4 linked regions of the Kluyveromyces lactis genome follow. The protein of the gene in region 3 interacts with the protein of the main gene of each other region in a pairwise test. Links are inferred from orthologs where the notes say so. Each region holds a gene or a part of one and is shown on either strand. Other genes may lie near its edges.

Region 1 (2,499 bases), on a different chromosome or scaffold from region 3:
CCTATGTGCCAACCGTACAGGCAGTTCATTTAGTAAAAAGCAAGAAGCCTTGAACATTAAACCTGGGGTTGGATGAGACCCAAATTGACACATTTGACGCAAGGACACCGCTGTTTGCGGTGTCTCCGAGTATTGCCATATTTTGGTCAAAAGAGAACTCGGAAATTTCACAGCCATTCTGCTTTATCGGTTCCTGTATTTTAACCCAAGAATTTCAGAAATAAATAGAGATGAAAAAGAATAGTTCCTGCCTATTTGAGATCACCTATTTCAACTAGTATATTGTTCGAGAGAAAGTGAAGTGATTAAACCCTCTACTCAATGGTGAAAATCAAGAGAACTTGAATGATTCTTATCGAAAATTCAAACAATCCAAATATTTTATCCACTGCACATGAAACTAAAGAGACGCAATCATATACCACAGTAAGCTCAGTAACCTTGTCTGCAGATTGTCTGAACTTTTGGCTTGCAGAACAAAGAATACGAAATCAAATAATTCATAGCTTTAAGTACTCGAATGATGAAAAGAAAATACAAACAAAAAAAAATCATCATAATAAATAGCGAATTAAACTAATTTAAACCTGGAGAAACAGCAATCTCAGCATATTGTTAATTTTCAATTTTAGTAATTCGATGAACTACTTTCCCTAGTTGTTTTTATGCAGTGCTCCCTAAGCGATCGATTTTTTTCACTGATGTTCGTGATAGAAGTTTTCAAATGAACCTGTAGCCTTAACGGATGAATGGAAGTTATGAGGTTTGTGCGCTTTGAAAACCCTTTTAAGAAACTCATTCCTATACGAAACTTTCTCTATGCTTTTCTCTCACAGATTGCGAAAGAATCACGTCACGTGAATAACGATTCCTTCACAGAAGATTTTGGTGTACATTGCCAATTGGAATAGTTCACTGCAATGAATGTCATTTCGAGGTCTTGTGTTCGGAAAATATTGACACTGGTGCCTGTTAACTTGATCTGCTGGAAATGCTGATGCAACAATCGAAATTCTACTGTTTTTCCTCCTAACAAACCTTTTTCGTTCTTAAGTATTTTTTCTATTTACGTCAAACATCGAAAGTAACGCCAAAATTCTATGAGAATGGATTAGTTACTAGTTATAGAATTGTGTGGTTATGGCCAAAACAGAAACGGATTTATTCTTCATCGGAATAAGACAAGTAATCCTTTCAGATAGAACTTCAACGGTACTGTAACTAAGCATCAGAAGATGGAGCAGTAATGGAAAGGGTGCTGGGAATAACATATGTCATTTGTTGGTCCGTTTCAGTGTATCCAGTGGTCTGGGCCAATTGGAAAAATGGGAATGCTAATGCTGTGTCATTTGATTATGTTGTCTTAAATACTGTCGGTTATTCATGCTTATTAGCATCCATGGTATTGCAGAAACTGTTCTGGGCTGAAGGTACTGATGAAACACTGATTGCCCCAGAAATTTCCGGATCAGATCTCATTTATTGCGGGCATGGTACCTTATTGTGCTTCGTTCTCTTATCACAATTTTTGTTAGGGAATAGACTATGGAATTTCTCACACACTACCAGAACGCATCCAAAGATGCATACGGTGTACAAGAGGATGTTTTCCATCATAATGTTAGTTGTCTTGGTCATAACGATTATTTTCTTTACAGATATTTTAACAGTTGGTTTGTCAAATGCAACATTACTCTCTTATTGCAATAATTTATCACTTGTAAAGATCACAATGTCTCTGATAAAGCATCTTCCCCAGGTGAGGCACAACTTCCAAAGGAAGAGTATGGCAGGATTTCCTATCCAATCGACTTGTATAGACGTCTTGGGGAGTGTATGTTCATTGAGTCAATTAGCTCTTCGTTTAGCTTCAAAACCGCAGGGATTGACCCTGATGTCCTTTTTCACCAACTTCGGGAAGATTGGTATTGGATTGATCACACTTTTGTTTAATATTGTGTACGTCTCTCAATGGATTGTTTATAGTTTATCACCATAGATTTCTTCAACTGCTTAGCTGAACTGAAATCCATACATACAAATTAGTGCTTGGTTAAAGTAGTTGGATGAAGTTAATATTAAATATCATACATTTCTCAGAAGCTGGAGTTGTAAGAGAGTTGTAACCTTGCACCTTGTTCTTCTTTTAATATTTAGCGACTCAATGTGACTTCTGAGGAAATAATAGTGAACTTTAAATGATTTTTTCAGGGTTGGCATAGAACAAAGGATTTCATTTCATAACAGTCCAAAAGCCTAGCTCTGAGTGGTATAATGAAATGCTAAGCTGTAAAATTAGACATTGGGTTGTTATAAACACTTTAAATGGTAGCTTTTATTATATATTTACAACATTTCCATTTAGCCAGCGGAAAGAATAACAAAACCAGATATTCTAAACTTCGCTCTCTGCTTCAGATTCACTGTCGCTGATGGCAGCAGAGTTGACGCTAGCAGTTTCTATAGGTCTTTGGAAATCTGTGGCATGTGCCCAAGGAA
Region 2 (2,607 bases), on a different chromosome or scaffold from region 3:
CGTAACAGCAGATCACAATTGGATATGACGCTTGCACAACTGGAACAACTACAGAGGCAAAAAAAGATTGCTAAGTTGACTGAAAAGGAATTGGGAAATTATGGAAATGAGCAAGTGTGGAGATCTTGTGGTAAGATGTTCATCCGTCAAGAGAAGCAAGCCTACACTGCTGATTTAAACCATGATGAAAGAATATTGGACGAACAGATAAAGGCATTGGAACAAAAGAGACATTACCTACAGACCACAGTCGATAACACGGTAGAGAGTTTGAGAAGAGTCATTGGAAATTAAATCAACTACTGAGTCGGCATCGACAGGGGTTTTTGTATGGGTCAAGCAATGTGGGAAGATAGTACCCTTAAAAGTCGTATTCATCATAGAATAGAGTTAAAGTATTTAGCAGTGGTAATGTTATATATAGTTGTACATTAAGAATTCTCTATTTCAGAATACATGTGGTCTTTATTCATCGCACGTCAAGGAGGAGGTACATTCGATCAAACCGCACTGTATCCGCCTCTTTGAGACGATGAACCACTATTTACGATTTTCCCTGCCACTTCTTTAGCGAATTGTGGGAGATTGGTAGCGAACGTAGTCGATCTATCAACGAACTCTTCCCGGAAATCGTTAAAGGAACCGTTTCTAGTGTTCATATACGAAGTAACCACGAGATAAATAAGGGCAAAGATAGTTGCATACATGAATAGCCATACGAGCCACGACCCAAGACCAGCTCCGCCCTTTGGTTTGGATCCATTTTTATCACCATCGTGAGGCTTCTTATCGGAGTCATCACCATCCTTATCATTGTTATCGTCGTCTCCGTTGCCATCTTTATTGTCATTTCCCTTTTTCAAACAACCAAATGGACCAGAGAACACTAGTTTCACATTTTGATCATCGGTCCAGCTGGATTCCGTTAAAGAACCCGAACCTTTCTCCTGGCATTGTAGATATATATCAGCATTCAAGATATGAGACCCCCAGGCGGCACCAGAAAGCCTTATAGACAATGCTTCCGCGGTTTCTTTCACTTCAAGGGCCACAGAACTGGTGAAATCCATCACTTTGGTGACAATTGATTCTTTCCCCGGTAATGCAACAGATGTAACGCCACAAAAAATATCCTTCACATTACATTGGTCAGGTATGGACGATTTGGAATCATGTTCATCACAAATATTCAACCACCAACTCTCTTTAGTCTCACTTGGTGGTGTATCCTGTACAGAAACACCGCCTATGGAAAACTCATTGACTCTATATTTGTTGAGGATTTCGTTTTTAGAGCACTCTACCGCTGAAGAAAATGGCAAAAGCGATACTAAAGCGGTTGCTAGTAGCACTTTCATGGCGTGTATGTATAGTTTTGCGTAGTTTCCTTTGGAATTATTCAATAAACCCGTTTTCGGTATATATAACTCCCCTGAGACAACAATAAACTCTTATTAGAGCGAAATCTTGAGAAGAGGCGACTTTTCAAAGGGCACTGTATGTACTCAGCACTTAATTATTTGCGTAGTTACCTTGCTTGGATACCTGATGTAGACAACATAGGGCTTCAAAAGTAGTTATGGTTCAAATGGAAATGTAAAGAACTCGTTGTATATTAATGCTAATCCTATCTGATAAATGTCATTAGCTTAGGGGAAATATATGTGGCCGGGTAAATATCCATCTTGTGACTGTTTAAGCCCGTGCATCCTTTTACATGCGATATTTAACACCCATAAATCTCCTTCTTTATTCTCTATAATATAAACATCCTAATTAGGTGACAAGTTTATTTTTCATTTTTCATTCGTTGAACAGCTGAGGTTGTATGCAGCTAGGCAGAAGGACGGAAATCTCAGGGCGGGCCTCTCTCTGCACAGTCCTCCCACTAACCACACCGGTCCCGGCTCCAGAGTGGTAAGTTTCAGCAACCCAGGCGGTTCCTCAACCTACCATGCTCCCCCTATCACATTCACCGGCATCAGTCTTACACTCAATGATGCGCCGGACGTTGGCCATGGGCTCACTCTAACTCCAGGTCCCTCGCTGCTCTGGCGCCTCCTCCTGCTACGGTTTGCTTGTCTCTGCCTAGTCTCCCGTTGCGGTAGGCAGAACTCCTGCCTAGCAGCAATTCCTCCACGCTGGCTCTCACCTTTCCAATTTTTCATTCCCAGACGGAAACCCGCCTGCCACACCGTGAGAATCAATTTACAGGTTTGGAAATTTGGAAATATTGTGAATAAAGAATATACGATAATATAGCATATATACATTGTTACCATATATTAAAGAGTAGTGGTTTAGACGTGTTAATTAGTGTTTTGATACAGGACCGAGAACTAAGACCTTCAAACAGAGTGATACACAATGGCTAGATACGGTGCTACTTCCACTAACCCAGCTAAGTCTGCTTCTGCTCGTGGTTCCTACTTGCGTGTTTCTTACAAGAACACCAGAGAAACTGCTCAAGCTATCAGTGGTTGGAATTTACAAAAGGCTCAAAAGTACTTGGACCAAGTTTTGGATCACCAAAGAGCTATTCCATTCAGAAGATTCAACTCTTCTATTGGTAGAACTGCCCAAGGTAAGGAATTCGGTGTCACCAAG
Region 3 (2,631 bases):
ATCAAACACTACAATCAACACTTTAGACAGTTCCATCAAATCTTTTAAATGATTATCCCCGTAGAACTTTTTGAATGCATCCTTAGAGGTAGCTAACAAATGTGCTTCATCCACAATAATCACGTCGCATTGTGAATTGGTCTTGTTCAAACTGTTTATTACAGAAGTGGGTCTTTCCAATGACGATTTTTTAATATATGGGAAAGATCTACTAATCTGATGGTATAATTTCAACATTTCGGGGTGGTTCACCACCAAGTAGTTATGGGTACCTTTCAAAATGTCATTGGCAGACCCGTGCATGGATTGTTTCTGCAAATCATTGAACAACGCGTTCAAAATTACTGATTTCCCTGTACCTGCATCACCTTCGATAACGTACATTGAAGGTTTTCCATCGTAATTAAACAACTTCTTCTTGATGAAATCAAACACACCGGCCTTCAATTGTACCTGCTCATCTGATAACTGAATCTTTGAAAGATTATCGATGGCCTTGGACCCTGAGATTCGCTGAACAGTTTGTGATTGCGGCATAACTCTTGAACTTTTCTTTGCAACTCTTGACATTGCTCGACGCATTCAGCTGGAGATATACGAGGTACTTCACTTTCAAACGCCAATAATAGCAGCGTTCTTAATTAGTGCATTGAGACACAATAGCAACGGAATATCATACTTGTAGAAGTAAAACTGGCAAGTATTTGATGAGGAACTTATCAACTTTTAAAGCTTTGCATGTTCGGACTTAAAGGCAGCGATGGGCAAAATTTCAGAAGTGTCAGTTATCGAGGCAAACAGATTTCGATTAGCTGCAATAATGATTACGTCCTGATTACACCTACTGATATGATAATTCAAATGGCCTTCAGGCCATTGGGTTGTCATTGCTGGGTAGATTCTTGGATAGTTTATGTACTGTTTCTAAATCCTATCAAATATGAACCGATCTGGACATTAAATCATGAAATACCCAAACGGAATGTTATAACACAGTTGAGAATATAAAATGACAGACTAGTGCAAAAAGAAATCCTCGTGCGCTTAGCCTAGCTAGTAACTTAATACTCCTTAAGAAACTAGTACTCAAGCATCCTAGTTCCTATATCTTGGCAGTCACAAGGCAGAAGTCATAAGTCACGTGACTATACCACTTTATCCTTTTGATAATGGAAAATATCAACGACACTTGAAACTTAGCAACAGATCTCATCTCATCTCATCTCATCTCAATCATTTCAGGGAATTCCACACAGCTGCATCTTCCGGTCCTCATCAGCAAGGAAAATACTGGTATCCTGATATTACTAAGTTGATGAATATCAAGCAATTTTTCGTTCCAGCCGGGAAACCTTTATCCGGTTTGGCAGTAGGACTCAGTATCTTTTTAACTGCATTGTTCTTAGTGAACAATCTGGTATACCCTATCAATGAACACCTTCTGCTAAAGCCTGATTCACTATTCAAGTTTGATTTGAACAGAATCTCGTTGTACCCGTTGGCTCATCTCTCATTTTTCCATTTGTTCTTCAATGTCATCTCGACTTTCTCTATGATTGTGATGTTCGAGGAATCCCATGGAACTCTTTACACTGGTGTCATATTGAATCTATTAGCCGTATTTACTGCAATCCCATACTGTTTAATCGGTTCTTTGCTATTCCCCAATGTCGAGATCGGTGGTGCAAGTGGTTGGTTCTTCTCTTTCTTGGGATACTTTGCTGTGAAAGAATCCCGAGTTCGTAACTCAGTGATGATCACCAGTACTTTTTCATTCCCAACATTATACTTCCCAGTAGCATTACTATTCGTTACTGCTCTATTGGCGCCTGGTTCTAGTCTACCAGGTCATGCAATTGGGTTACTATTAGGATACTTCATGGGGTTGAAAGAGAATTGGGTAGCCAAGATTACTCCACCAAGCTTTGTATTGAAGAAAATTGAAACATGGGTCGATCCATTGATCAATCTGATCCCATTCGGTATTAAGTACTATAGGGAAGTTGAAGTGGACAGATCACTTGAATATACTTCCGTTTACCTGGGGTCAGAATCCAGATTGCCCTTGCATAATACGGATACTCCAGCGGAGCCCACATTTCAAGGAAACGGAAGAGTCTTGGGAAATTGAAATGTGAATCCTCAGAAATTAGATACTAGAGATTTAAATCATCTGCTGTTCTTCTTCTTTTTCTTCAAACCCAACTTTTGAAATATTGATAATTATATTTACATGCGTGTTACTTCGATGCGGCGGGGAGAATTATATTCATTCTATATACATAGGGAAACATCCTTTTTAATTATTTTCTGTCATTCCTCTTTTTCTCTCATACGTTGAGTTCCTCGAGTATGTGCTTTCTCAAGATGTTCTTCTTGATATTCTTCTTCAACAGTTGAGGATTCTCCAAACCTTTCGATAGTAAAAATTCATTAGCCAAGGATTCGTTCTTGGTATACTCTGCCAATTTTTCTGTAATAGCATCGATCTTCTGCTGCTGTTGTTTCACTTGGGTTTCAATCTTGAGAATATCCAACTGTAATATTTGCTTCAAGGATTCCGGACTAAACTTATCAATTCCGTAACGGCTCTTAATCTCTTTAACTGCGGCAGAATCCTCGGTACCATCT
Region 4 (3,964 bases), on a different chromosome or scaffold from region 3:
TCCACAATTTTGATTTAACCTCTTTTCTCAGCATTTAATTCTTAAGTATTTGTGTGTCTACATGGTTACATATTCAATCACTTTTATTGCGGTTAAAGAGACTATTTTGTTGGCTTGGACGGTCAAAAGTCTATAAAAACATCTGTTTCGATTGCATTCGATGCGATATCCTAAACCTTTTTCTCGTTACTCCTTTCACACTTTTGAGATTTAAAACTGAATTTGGGTTATGAAATTAAAAGAACTACCTATTAATTATGATTCAGAGTTAGTGAACCTTAAGTTCAAAGCAGTATATCAGTGCTTTATATATTAAGAGTATGTGAGCATGGGTACCGTGGAAAAGATCAAATGTTGTTATTTTTTAAATTACTCTATACAAAAATGCTTGGTTTAGAAAGTCCATGCTAGATATGCAGTATTATATAGGAGAAATATGAGACTCCTGAAGAGAGCCGGACTTTTTTTTTTTGGCCTCACTTTAAATATAAGAGGCGAACTTATTTAGCCTTGTTATATTCATTCAGCTTACCGATGAACCACAATGAGCTTAGGTAACTTAAAGATCCAAATGCTGTCCAGCAGAGAATGTTGAATAACGTACTATAACAGACAAATAGGAAAGATGAGATGAAATCTCTGTATCTGGCAACAAAAATCAAATACAAAATAGAGTACGCTTCCATATACCATGCAACTGCACCACCCATATGAAATGCCTTCCATCTCCATGAATGACATGCTTCTAGAACCCTTCCTATAACGTTGTCCCATTTGAAATTCAAAGAATCATTACCATAGTTTAGATGAATGTAACAACCAATAATGGATAGAAGGCAGATACATATGCAAACGATAACAATATTACTCAAAAGGAATCCGTATAAGTAATACAGAGTAGTCTTTTGTAGCCAAAGTGATTTGTAAGCAAATAACAACTCCACGTATATTAGAGCAAATGGAATAAGTCCAAAGGTGAGAGTGATCGCAATAGGATTTTTTAAGACGAACGGAATAGAGTTCTTACTCTCAACGTACAAAGGCCTAGTGTCATGTTTGTTCACTTCTGCCAATGCAAAGCTATTAAGCAAAGTATTTGTGGAGTTAACTTTTAAAAACCTATCGGCACATTTCCCACCAATGATTGATATTGGAACGCAAACAATGAAATAAGCACCAAATAGTAATGCAACGGTACCATGGGGTAAAGTATTTGCAGCATTATTGGCCTTAAGTATGTAATTCAATAACAAAACGATAACCAAAGTAATTCCCGGTAGAGTTGATCCGAATATGATTGAATTGACCAATTTATGTTGAGACATTTGCCCCTCAAGTAGAGCACCGATGAAAGATGATGTAAAACTACCACTGATAAATAGGAATACTGCGCAGGTGAGTACAGAGCTGCCAATACGATGGGTATGATTCAATGAACAAGAAATAATCAAAGTTCCAAGAGTGGTGAAAAGGAAATGAATACCCATAGAAACGAGCAAATTCAACTGAAAGAATAAAGGAACTCTAGCCTTCGACCATTCCGCAGCTAGTTGAGTGGTAATCGAACCATCAGTTTCCTGTCTTTTCAAAATGGCTATGACGATCAAAAGCAAACATGAAGTGACAATTATACCATTAGCGAAAGTAATCCAATGGAATTGATTTGAAGTCGATTCCTTTAACTCTCCACCATTAATGAAGAAATTCCATCTGTTTTTCCAATCCACTTTGAAATCTTCTCTCCAATACACGGCATAAGTGAAGGAGATAAACTCAATATCCTCATTAGTTGGGTCGATCTTATAGGGAGTATAATCCTTGGAGGCGCCAGGACAGTGATGATCTGAAACGGATTTCGGATAGACCTCAAACCCAACAATGGTATTTTTGCCCTGATCGATGGTATGATAACGAATTACAATCATGACATGGTTATTAATATAGGCCTCATCAGTTTCTGGATCGTATTGACCCAGTGGGAACCCCGATGAATAGTATTTTTTCTTATCTTTGGTGTTAAGATACGTGGTAGCACCTGGTAAATCATCATCGGCCAACCATTGGACGACGTAATTCTGTTTAATTAATTCATAGGCTTGTTTCTTCCCCTCACCGTTAGTTTTCCTATCACATAATCGCACACAATCCTCGTCTTTACCGAACGTCAGCTGATAGTCCGATTGCCATTTCTTGTTCCCGTATAATATGTCACTGAAAGTCAAGGGTAAAGGTTTCATGTCCTGCGACGGTGGACAAGTGAAATGTAAGTCGTAATATCCATACGAGAAATGAGTTAAGTCAGATTCGACTTTGTTCACAGTGATATCGACCTTATCACCATACTCATAGAAGTTCGGACTCAATAGTCCGTACTCTTTGAAAACTCCAGTGTGCTGCTGGTACGACGAAGAAAATTTGAATGGGTTGGCATCTGGGGAAGGCCGACGATGATTTCTCAGCCTTGGAAGAACCCATATTAGACTTAAAAGTACCAGTAAACTGACTAGAACCGATCTTGATTTCAGTTTCATAACAAGAGTTTAGTGGTGGCTGCGTGTGTTAATGGTTTATGAACTAAAGCGAAAGACAGAAATAAATGAGGAACAGTATGAATAATTGTGTTAAGGAAATATAATAGTTTAATGTCACACACAAACACGGAGGGCGGATACCAGTGTTCTTCGATCAAAAGAAAAAAACCCCAGGAAAATTATTAACCAAAACCAAAACAAAACCAAAACCAGGACAGTAGTATAATACAGATATATATATATATATATATATATATATATCCTATCAAAAACCTCAGAGTGAAGTCTTGTTTACCATTTAAACTTTCTCCTCTACTCTTTTCCCTTTTTGCCTGAGATATGCTTTAAATATGAAAAGCTCATCTCGAAGAATAGAAAATCGACAAGGAAAAATTCTGAAAAATCGTTTTTTTTCTTCTGGAAAAGGAATCATTATCCTGAATAGTTAGTACACGGCAGCGATAAGATGGATATATATATCTACGTACATTACTCTCCACGTATGGGGTCTATATTAACGTAACTGTATTAATATCCACTCTACACATTCTGTAAGCTATTCGTAAACATTAATTATATAATATGTTAATCTGCCCTTGTGCTGTCTCTCGCCTTCTTTTATTTAGTCAGGCTGAGTGAGACAATATATCCTCTGTGACTATCTAAAAAAAAACAGTTTCCTCTGTGCTGGCCAGTGTCTTCTTGTTCCAGACCCTTTCTGCACATAAAGCTCTGTTTTTGTTTTCCGTTTGCCTTTCCTTAAAGCAGATCAAGAATCGATTCAAAAATTCGAGATATACAATACGTGGTGCATGGGTGCCAGAGGACAATACACATGTTAGCGTAATGACCGGGTAACAACTTCTACTGAGGCTCAAAAAAGCACATCACGTGACTGTAATTATTATTGTTATCATTATGTCAGGATAAATTTCAAATCTAGAAATCATATTGTTTTTGTATACATAGATGAGGGAGAGGTGCAATGTATGTAGTGCACTGCAAATTTATCAAGAGAGAACTTAAGAAGTGCTGTTGGTTTCTTTAAGTTAACCAACCCATGCTATTCCATTCTGTGCGGCAGAATGCTGGTGGAAATGTGCCTGCTCATGATAGTTTAGGTGGTCACAATCAAGAAATTATGGATGCATCAGTCTTCAACGGCCTGCCGTCTGCAACCTCCGCAGCAGATGCAGCAGCAACAGCAGCAGCTGCCTCTGCTTCAAATTATGTTGATTCATCGAATCTCTCACATCTTTCAGAGAAATTTAAAAGACTTGAAACTCTAATCTCGGATCATTTATCACAGTTGAACATAGAATCCGCCGTTTTCGTCTCAGAGTTGTTATTTGCGGAATGCTCGAATCTGGACGAATCATCTCAGGAAAGAGCGCTTGCGAATTACTTTTACTCTCTATCCCTGTACTTGAACA

Evidence for each region. The genes of interacting proteins can lie anywhere in the genome.
Region 1: the proteins of RBD2 (region 3) and ERS1 interact in a protein complementation assay, tested with the Saccharomyces cerevisiae proteins (2 studies listed by BioGRID). The link is inferred for Kluyveromyces lactis from reciprocal best matches to the Saccharomyces cerevisiae genes RBD2 and ERS1.
Region 2: the proteins of RBD2 (region 3) and ATG27 interact in a protein complementation assay, tested with the Saccharomyces cerevisiae proteins (2 studies listed by BioGRID). The link is inferred for Kluyveromyces lactis from reciprocal best matches to the Saccharomyces cerevisiae genes RBD2 and ATG27.
Region 4: the proteins of RBD2 (region 3) and TMN3 interact in a protein complementation assay, tested with the Saccharomyces cerevisiae proteins (2 studies listed by BioGRID). The link is inferred for Kluyveromyces lactis from reciprocal best matches to the Saccharomyces cerevisiae genes RBD2 and TMN3.

What each region holds. Positions count from the first base shown.
Region 1 is NC_006042.1:2,538,715-2,541,213, forward strand, and holds ERS1 (cystinosin-like protein ERS1), read left to right. Parts: upstream 1-1,246; coding exon 1,247-1,999; downstream 2,000-2,499. Other genes in the region: KLLA0_F27423g (PDK/BCKDK family protein kinase), read right to left, coding at 1-177; SYG1 (Syg1p), read right to left, coding at 2,396-2,499. UniProt on the Saccharomyces cerevisiae protein: Cystine/H(+) symporter that mediates export of cystine, the oxidized dimer of cysteine, from vacuoles/endodomes.
Region 2 is NC_006037.1:574,520-577,126, forward strand, and holds ATG27 (Atg27p), read right to left. Parts: upstream 1,359-2,607; coding exon 501-1,358; downstream 1-500. Other genes in the region: PFD1 (prefolding complex chaperone subunit), read left to right, coding at 1-294; KLLA0_A06336g (60S ribosomal protein uL22), read left to right, coding at 2,368-2,607. UniProt on the Saccharomyces cerevisiae protein: Effector of VPS34 phosphatidylinositol 3-phosphate kinase signaling. Regulates the cytoplasm to vacuole transport (Cvt) vesicle formation.
Region 3 is NC_006040.1:1,092,869-1,095,499, reverse strand, and holds RBD2 (putative rhomboid protease RBD2), read left to right. Parts: upstream 1-1,315; coding exon 1,316-2,131; downstream 2,132-2,631. Other genes in the region: KLLA0_D12826g (uncharacterized protein), read right to left, coding at 1-582; MRPS17 (mitochondrial 37S ribosomal protein uS17m), read right to left, coding at 2,331-2,631. UniProt on the Saccharomyces cerevisiae protein: Probable rhomboid-type serine protease that catalyzes intramembrane proteolysis.
Region 4 is NC_006041.1:1,856,926-1,860,889, forward strand, and holds TMN3 (Tmn3p), read right to left. Parts: upstream 2,532-3,964; coding exon 501-2,531; downstream 1-500. Other genes in the region: U6 snRNA complex subunit LSM4, read left to right, coding at 1-13; anaphase promoting complex subunit CDC27, read left to right, coding at 3,592-3,964. UniProt on the Saccharomyces cerevisiae protein: With EMP70 and TMN2, plays a critical role in the late stages of a nutrient-controlled pathway notably regulating FLO11 gene expression. Acts downstream of RAS2 and TOR. Essential for cell adhesion and filamentous growth.